2 linked regions of the Drosophila melanogaster genome follow. The protein of the gene in region 2 purifies or fractionates together with the protein of the main gene of each other region. This does not show direct contact. Each region holds a gene or a part of one and is shown on either strand. Other genes may lie near its edges. The genes, in order: CG10887 and Khc-73.

The links.
Region 1: the proteins of Khc-73 (region 2) and CG10887 purify together in Drosophila melanogaster (affinity purification with mass spectrometry, with the first as the bait; one large-scale study listed by BioGRID). This does not show direct contact.

Annotation. Positions count from the first base shown.
Region 1 is NT_033777.3:20,112,734-20,117,639, reverse strand, and holds CG10887 (uncharacterized protein), read right to left. Parts: upstream 2,803-4,906; 5' UTR 2,702-2,802; coding exon 2,662-2,701; intron 2,604-2,661; coding exon 2,564-2,603; intron 2,508-2,563; coding exon 557-2,507; 3' UTR 501-556; downstream 1-500.
Region 2 is NT_033778.4:15,529,228-15,534,404, forward strand, and holds the start of Khc-73 (kinesin heavy chain 73), read right to left. Parts: upstream 3,033-5,177; 5' UTR 2,895-3,032; intron 2,169-2,894; 5' UTR 1,963-2,168; coding exon 1,908-1,962; intron 1-1,907.

The sequences.
Region 1 (4,906 bases), on a different chromosome or scaffold from region 2:
TTCAGGATAACGCCTTTTGCTAACAAATAAAGTACTTATTAATTTCAAATTTTTAACAAGCTAAGTATGTATGTATCTTATTTCGGCTACCTGAGATGGCGGTGACAAATATAAAGCTGGAATCAAAGAGCAAAGTCCGACTGAGCCGCTGACCAGAAAGCCACCCACTTGCCGCCCCCAAAACCCACATACGACCCACCGAGTCACGAGTCCAATCTCCCAAAAACACCAGGCAGCAATCCAATGCACCTACCATTAATTGCTTTGGGCGTTGGTATGCCGGCCAGTTTGGCAGTCGGACAATGGCATTTGGGTTAGAGTGCTCCGCGCTGCAATCACGACCCCATTGTGACCTTTAGCAATTTCTGCGCCGACTACCAATGTCTGCCTGCCTCAGCTGCCACGCCCCCTAATTAAGGCAATGGCCGTACACCCACTGTGGGCGCGAGAAATTGTTAATTAAATATCAGTTGCAGCTACTCCTGGCTCTACGCTTTGTTGCGTGCTGGCTAATGACATGTTTATTGAGATTTCGTATCTAGCGGCTATTTAATATTTAGTCGGAATCTGATCCGGAATAGACCAAACGCGTGGGCTTGCGGATAGCACCTCCGATCGGGAGATCGTCTTCGGAACTCGATTGCTTTCCTTCCTCCTGGGAATTGGGTGAGCTCCAAGAAGCATCATCGTCCATATGATCTTCGGTATCTTCCTCGCTGCGCATTGGTTCATTCGTAACCTCCAATGCAGAGCTTGTCTCGCAATCTGCACCCTCACCGTCGTCCTCTTCGAATGCCCCTGCGTTTTTGGCCACATTGTGATCGGAGCCTTGATAGTGCCTGTCACGTTTCGGAGGATGATTCTTCATAAGCGCGCGATTCTTTTCACGACCCTCCTGGCGAAGCTTGGACAATTCCTCCTTCATGCGCCGATCATGATCGTGCTCGGGATTGGAGCCCATGTTCGTTATCACCTTAACGCACCCAGACTGTGGCTTATTCGTGGCTCGATTACGCAAGGCCTGGACATGACTCTGTCCGAAATTGGAGTCCAGCATGGGACGCACAGTCAACTTATTCTGGATCAAACCCTGAGGCTGGTAGAAGCTGCCCAGGCGAACATACAAATGGTTCTGGTTAACGGTCACCGGGTGATGCATCATATCGAAAACCTCGTTGCCCACATGAAAGGTTTCGCTGCCATCGGACCAACGAACAATTTTCGCATTGGACTCCTTGGTTTTGTTTTCGTTCTCGCGCCACCTAACAGTTGCCTTTAGACGATTTATGAAATCCTCGCGTGACTGTTCGTCCTTCAAATCATTCTTAGTCATGCGATCCTGAAAGGTTTCAGGCACGTATGCCTTGGATTCCACGGGTATGAAATAAGGCATCTTCAGAAACTGCGATGGACCTTTTAGAAGTCCACAATTTTGGGTTGTTATGGTGGTCTGGAACTTAACTGCTACATCTTTTTCAAAAGGTTTGCGTTGTTCTTCTATATCAAGAACTTGCGACTCCTTATCACCATTTACCTCTCCATTCATTCCATTTCCATTTTGATTCTTTGCATTATCACCGTAATCGAAATTTAAATCGAGACTATCAGAAGAGGCATACGACAAGACATCGGATTCCTTTTCATCTGAACTATATCGCAATTGGGACAACCTTTTTTCAATGTTGTAATTTTTTCCATTTGATTCATACTCTGTATTTGAGCTGGGACCTAATGGCACAGGATTGACCCTGGGTTTTAAAATATTACCTTCGGATGATGTCGGTGGAAATGAAGAACATTGCAATGGGAGCAATTCTTTTTCCATTGTATTACTTTTATTTATTGGGGTCGATGTAGAATGTTGCTTCGAGAGTAGGTCTTGTTCCATCTCATCAATCAATCCATTTGCTACTTCATTCGAGCTTGGAAAATTGGAAATAGAAACTGTCCCAGGGGACAATATGTTGCCCTCGTTAGAGAGCTGTTGATTATTATCTTCGTCAATGATTGTATTGAAATTGTCTTTAAGTTCTATGAGGGAAGTTGATTTTCTGATGTTAGAGACTGTTTCAGAGTCGACACTTCCCTGGTCATCACTTTCTGAAAAGCTCGGAATGCCGCCAACCTGTCCCGCAGAAGTTGTGGTTTCATTTGAGATATTTGAAGAAGATTTCGGGTTGCTCCAGTTAATAGATTTCGGTTCTGGAGCACATAATAATGATGATGAAAGCGAAGATGAAGTCGAAAACGAAGACGATTCTCCTGAATCTGGTGGACTTCCGGAGCTGGATTCAGAGGTCCAGCTTGAATTGGATGTGGAAATATATGGTCGTTCGCTTTTCGATGATGTCTTGGCGTTCAGATCAGATCGAGATTCAAGAGGTCCCTGCGATTCAGGAACACTATTTGCTGTTGAGTGAAAAGAATGTGAACGGCTTTGGTGCTGCCTTCGTGCCTTAGTTTTATTTCCTTGTTGATCAACGCTGGAGAAAGAGGGATTCGGGCTCCTGGAAAAGCCATATGGGATTACTAAGTTCTGCAGAATATATGTACCTAAACCAACCTCCTATTGAATGCAGGCCAGCTTTCGGAAGATTCACCATCTAAAGTAAAAGCGTAGATAATAATTCAATTTTTATTAATATTCTATAGACTACAAACCTTTTATTACTTGATTGTCGTGCAAATTGGGGTCAGCCATTTTTAGCGTAAGGCGAAGAGTTAGTGGAACACAATTTCTTCACAAGCAGCACAGAAAAAAAACTATATGGTTTTTTACGTAATGACAGCCGAGCCAAGTGACTGATTTATCGATTGTTTGACAGAGTTGTCTGGGCAAGAGTTGTCAGCTTTTCTAACAATCAGTGTTGTTCCCCTACTGTTTTAATTGGTTTAAAACTGTTGGAATATACTATTCAACCTACAAAAATAACGTTAAACAACACTACTTTATATTTGATATGAATGGCCACACCTTTTATGCCATAAAACATATTGTAAGAGAATACCACTCTTTTTATTCCTTCTTTCCTTCTTGTACGTTTTTTGCTGTGAGTAGGTCGTGGTGCTGGTGTTGCAGTTGAAATAACTTAAAATATAAATCATAAAACTCAAACATAAACTTGACTATTTATTTATTTATTAAGAAAGGAAATATAAATTATAAATTACAACAGGTTATGGGCCCAGTCCATGCCTAATAAACAATTAAATTGTGAATTAAAGATTGTGAAAATAAATTGTGAAATAGCATTTTTTCACATTCTTGTGAAATAGCTTTTTTTTTCACATTCTTGTGAAATTATTTCCTTCTCAGAATTTGAGTGAAAAATGGACAAGGCTAAACGTAATATTAAGCCGTTTGATGGCGAGAAGTACGCGATTTGGAAATTTAGAATTAGGGCTCTTTTAGCCGAGCAAGATGTGCTTAAAGTAGTTGATGGTTTAATGCCTAACGAGGTAGATGACTCCTGGAAAAAGGCAGAGCGTTGTGCAAAAAGTACAATAATAGAGTACCTAAGCGACTCGTTTTTAAATTTCGCAACAAGCGACATTACGGCGCGTCAGATTCTTGAGAATTTGGACGCCGTTTATGAACGAAAAAGTTTGGCGTCGCAACTGGCGCTGCGAAAACGTTTGCTTTCTCTGAAGCTATCAAGTGAGATGTCACTATTAAGCCATTTTCATATTTTTGACGAACTTATAAGTGAATTGTTGGCAGCTGGTGCAAAAATAGAAGAGATGGATAAAATTTCTCATCTACTGATCACATTGCCTTCGTGTTACGATGGAATTATTACAGCGATAGAGACATTATCTGAAGAAAATTTGACATTGGCGTTTGTGAAAAATAGATTGCTGGATCAAGAAATTAAAATTAAAAATGACCACAACGATACAAGCAAGAAAGTTATGAACGCGATCGTGCACAACAATAATAACACTTATAAAAATAATTTGTTTAAAAATCGGGTAACTAAACCAAAGAAAATATTCAAGGGAAATTCAAAGTATAAAGTCAAGTGTCACCACTGTGGCAGAGAAGGCCACATTAAAAAAGATTGTTTCCATTATAAAAGAATATTAAATAATAAAAATAAAGAAAATGAAAAACAAGTTCAAACTGCAACATCACACGGCATTGCGTTTATGGTAAAAGAAGTGAATAATACTTCAGTGATGGACAACTGCGGGTTTGTCCTTGATTCTGGTGCTAGTGACCATCTTATAAATGATGAGTCGCTGTATACCGACAGTGTGGAGGTTGTGCCTCCACTTAAGATTGCAGTGGCCAAGCAAGGCGAATTTATTTATGCCACTAAGCGTGGTATTGTCCGACTACGGAATGACCATGAGATTACACTGGAGGATGTACTCTTTTGTAAGGAAGCTGCTGGTAATTTGATGTCCGTAAAGCGTCTCCAAGAGGCAGGAATGTCGATCGAATTTGACAAAAGCGGTGTAACCATTTCGAAAAATGGGTTAATGGTTGTCAAAAATTCAGGTATGTTAAACAATGTACCTGTGATCAATTTTCAAGCATATTCTATAAATGCTAAGCATAAAAATAATTTTCGTTTATGGCATGAGAGGTTTGGCCATATAAGCGATGGCAAATTATTAGAAATAAAACGAAAGAATATGTTTAGTGATCAAAGTCTTCTAAACAACTTAGAGTTATCATGTGAAATTTGTGAACCCTGTTTAAATGGTAAACAGGCAAGACTTCCTTTTAAACAATTGAAAGATAAGACCCATATTAAAAGACCACTTTTTGTAGTACACTCAGATGTCTGTGGGCCTATTACTCCAGTTACTTTAGATGATAAAAATTATTTTGTGATCTTTGTTGATCAGTTTACACATTATTGTGTAACTTATTTAATTAAATATAAATCTGATGTGT
Region 2 (5,177 bases):
CGCAGACTTTCCGGTGACTACGACTACTACTCTCTTCAGACACCAAAACAGCAACGGATCAAACAAGCCAAAAACATGACAAAGTACAACATCGATACACGGTCAAACTTCTAAAAATACACGCGGTTACCAAGTCCATGCGTACGCCTAACTTGGCCGGAAAATATTACAAGTGACACATTATGATGGATAACCAGAAGTAGTTGTTTGTTTGCCAATAAACAAGTATATACAAGTGTTACGGATACAATTAATTAGTTTCACAAGTAGCTGGCACTAGCGTGGTAATAAATTTGTCAAAATTACAAAGTTATTTGTAATTAAATGAGCATCTGTGATCGCAGAATTCATCACTTTAAGGTCCCATAGCTACTAAGACTAGTTTGTGTTTCATTTGCAAATACTTGCAAGTGCACAATTATTGCACTATGCTCCACAACGACTACCTCTAAAACCAGAATGCAATTGCAATTATCCTAATTCATCCATTAGCTTCGCTATAGATAAAGACCTAATAGGTTAGAGTCCATCTAATCGAGTTATGACAAACTGAGTATGAAAAGAAAAGCTACAAAATAACAACAGAAATGTGTTTTGATGGATTATACAATCATGTAAATATAAACAAACATGGAGTCATCGGTGTAGGTTTGTCATTCAATCAATTAGGATCGTGACCCATATAAATGGAATACTTTCTAAGCCTGCCGTTTGTTTATATGTGTATGAAATCAAACTTTACGTTATGCCAATTTATAAACAGAGGGTGCACCAAAATGCAATAAATGTAACTGATTCAATGCCTTATGTAAATATAAATAAGATGTGCAATCAAAGTTTGCCATTCAATCAATACAGCAGGGGATCCAAGTGGACCTTGCCCCACGCACAGGCACATAAATACAAGCATGCAGCACGCTTATATGCGTTTACATAGGTATCTTTTGCATATGGTTGGGTCGTAGAGCCCCTTTTCCGCTGCCATCCTTCGCTTCCGCCGACGCCGCCGCGAGTGTGAGTCATGGATGAGCCAAATGAATGATCAGTGTTGACATTGGAAACGCTGACGGCGCTGTTGCTTGTTTTTCATTTTTAGTTATTTTGCACTTGCAACACACTTCGTGGCTGGCAGTGGGTAACGCGAAATTAGCTGGAAACGCAAATCGTTTGTCAGACGAGCAGACCGGGGACCTTGCAAAACCATCCCAATCCATCCCATCCCATTACCATCCCGTAGGTAGACGCTGTAGTTCTGCAGTTAAGCCCTGCGAAAAATCCGCTGGCGCAGCAGTTGAAAAACGAAACCGTATTTCAAAGGAAGCGAGGAAGCCCATGTAAATTTCGTTAGCCTAAAAAAACAGTCGCTTGCCTGGTTGGTTGTTTGCATTATTGATTGCAGGCAACTGCAGTGCTTGTTGGCCATTGTTGGGAAACAATGTGAAAAAGTGGGGAAAATGGAAAGTGCGGGCCACTCAAGGCAACTCCTTATGAACTATATTATCAACTCTTACAAAATAAATGGAGTGCCTGGCATCTGATGTTATAATTTTATAGAAATTGCTTAACCACCCTCACGACCAACCGTAAAACTACTTTATTATACTAAAAAAAAGATGAAAGTTTTAACATAACAATAGATAAATATGAGCGCATTAAAACACAAAATTAAAGGGCGAATATTTAAGCTTTAAGTCTGTAGCTTTTCAGATTTACTCCAAAATTATTTTGTTTTTTAATTTACGATAATGTAACATTTTTGTACAATGAAAAATCAGAAATTATGTCTATCTGTTGCTTATTATTGTGCTCATGTCGATTGTGAAACATTTATATTTTGAAACTCCATAAGTTGGCGAATTTTTCTCCCAGTACAGGGGATTATGTGGGGCATGTAAATCGGCACTTACCTCGGCGATTGAAGGGTCGCACCCTTACGGCGACTTTGATCTTATCACTAGCCATCGCGGATGTGGATGCAGCGGGTGTTGTTTTTGAATCTCTATTTAGATGAAGCGGAGTGGATATGCGGATGGGCGGGGCTCCCTAAGCGGGGGCTGCAGCGGGGGGCGTGGCTAGCTCCTTCTCCTCGGGCTTCGTTGCTTTTGACTTTTATGACCGTTAGTTGTTAGCGGTAGTTGTCGTCCTCGCGGGAGTTATGAGCACGCAATCTGGAAGGCAGGTGGAAGTCGTAAGCTGACTCACAAGTAAGTGGCTTTTGTGGAGCGCCAAAAAAAATAAATTATATATATTGTGTGAGTTCAATTAGCGCCACGCACACACGCGCACACATGTCTAACAGTAAGTGGGTGGTGCGGGGGGTGGTTTTCCATTTCGTTCTCGCCGTTTGTCATTCACTTTGTTTTGCTTTTGCTTTTTTGCTTTGTTGTTACTACACACACACACACTTGCACGCACACGGATACGTTTTATTGTCATGTGCTGGCATTCCGTTATTTACGCGAGACACACTCAAATATTTACTGGAAATTAGCTAATTAAGAATGTGATTCTAGTGTCCTGTCCGATTTTTCAGGGCTGTCCAAATAAATGCGAATATGTACATACAGACTTGATATTCTTTTCGCACTTTCACACACAACTACACCCCCACACACACACAGATCAGCAGGTATGCACTATGCACAGGTAGCTCTTTTTAACCCTCAAAAGCCACGCGAAATACAAAAACTTTACGAGCTCCACGAAAAGTTGGCGAAAAGCAACGCCAGGCTCCACCGCCCGCGCAAAAAAGTCTCGAACGCAGTGTGCGACTTCTTTGAAGAATCGATTTTTATGGCTCTTTTTCTTTCGAGGGGAGCAACACAAATGGGGGCCTCTTTTGGCTGCACACTCGCATTGTTTTCATTTGGGATATGCTTATCGTTTGACCGCACCTTTAGCTCCTTCGTTTTCGCACTTGGTTTCACTTCAATTTTGATTTTCTGTATTGCGTTTTCATTTTTCGCGTTTTCGTTTTTCTCAGCAATTTTTACTAGTGATGCAGAATCATCGATTGCTCTTGCGACTATCGATGAGTGTGACCGTGTGCAGGGTGCCCAAGAAATACCACAGTTTTCTTTTCTAAAAATACCAAAAACGATGTGCTTAATTCTAGTTTGGGTGGGTGAACTCGCTAAGTTCTAAAATTGAATTTTAGTGTGACCATTCACAGACCGAAAAAAGGGCTTTTTAAAATATCGTTATTTTCAAACTTTGGATCTATTAAAAAAGTGAATATATATATAATGATGTTATTGCAAATATTATATAAAGGTAACATATACAAAGGTAGAAGTATTGTCCAGCTAGAATGTTAAAAAATATTTAATAATTTTAAAATTAAATAAAACTCGTTTACTTAGCGTACTACAAACTAAAGTAAATAATCTGACCACGATCTTAAAATCATTTGAATTATCTTTTAAGAACGAATTCTTTGAGTCCCAGATTCCCCGGACCATTTTTTTTCAAACCAATGTATACTTTTTTTATGAAATAATCATAAGTTTTACTTATAGAACGTCATATTAGATTTAATTTGTTGTTTGACTTGTCATTTATTAATTTAATGTGGAAATATATCGGCTTCTTCCGTTGTATATTCCTGTAATTTATTTTGACCCTGTTGGAAAATAACCGTTCCCTAGTGGAACCATTCCATTTGCAATTGCATTTTAAGTGGCACTTCCTGTTTTGCAATGCTGATTTTCAGTACAGTGAAACCTATTTTGTTCCAAAAAAACTGAAGTTGGGTCGCATAAGTGGGCAACTTGATCAGTTGCGTTTTACTTTTTATTGATATTGATATATAGACGAATAAAAAAGCTACCAACGGAAAATGAAAAAGAAAAATGTAGTTCCTGTAGGTTTCTAGTTTCGCATATGCAAGGATCCACTGCCTCATTAAGGGAGCGACTTTCAACTCGGAAGAACGCCTCCCCATCATAGCGGAGTCAATGAACGCGATCGATCGGCGTGAAAAACGAGAACTCAAGACCGGCAATTTGAGCCCGGCCTAGTGACGTATACGTGTGAACCAAAAAAAAATAACGAGCCGATCGCAAATGCAGGCCGTTCCGATTCCCAAAAATAAACAAAGCGAAAAGCAGTTTCGCTTTCATCGCTCGGTTTGTTTTCATTCGTATCTCATTTTTTGTTGCTGTTTTTTTATTAATTTTTTTAACTCAATACCCGCTTGATACCTGTTCACGTGCGTTTTGGGCGCTCACGGAGTTTATAAAGGTTTGGAATCGCCGCAAAGGGTCACAGTATCTGCGAAAGACGCGAAGCTGCGAGTGTCGCGCTAAAAAAAAAAACACACACATCCTAAAAATTAGTTTCGATTGCGAATCTTACAAAAGTAAATAAACAAGACAAAAATACTGGTAAACTAATATTTTTTGGAATAAGAGCGAGTGCCAAGGACAGTTCTATATTGATTGGATTATTGTTTGAAAAGTAGGTCACTTCGATTAGTTGCAGATCCCGGATTGAAATCGATCCTTGACCCCCAAACGCGATCATAAGCAGGCAGTGTCAAAATATAAATCACCATTTTTCCTACAGCCATTCCATTAAAAACCAGCGTGCAGCAAACATGGCAAAACCAGAGCCAGTTCGCGAATATTAGTTACAAAACCCATCGTTTGTCCAAAGAAAAAACGAGGGAAAAAGAAACCAAACTGGGCGATCGGGATCCGCAAAGTTAAGGTGAAGGTTCATTTGCATAGGCAAAAATCGGAAAATAATATAATAGTGGATGCGAAGCCAAGCGCAGATTTACGATTTACCCTTGAAATGGTTTCATCGAATAGCCATTAGCTGCCATAAAATGCAAACTGGCTATCTGGGGACTTACAACTGCGAATCTCGACGACGTCTTCGAGAGCAAAGAAAACATTAGCCATATTATATTTATATTTTCGATAATTTTTGGCCCACGCCTGCTGCCAAATTGGCAAATCGCCCGGGGGACTTATTCTCGAATTTCTACCTCAATCAGCCAATGCAAACAACGAATTTATTTGGAATGAGTACTTTGGGCAAACGACAATAAGATGCCATACGCCTGGTCAAGCTTAATGTATGCAAGTAAATTCTGGAGACACCAGATGAAATGATCGTAGCAATATGTACCAGGCCATAGTCGTTGACCTTTGCAGACATTTAGTGGTAAT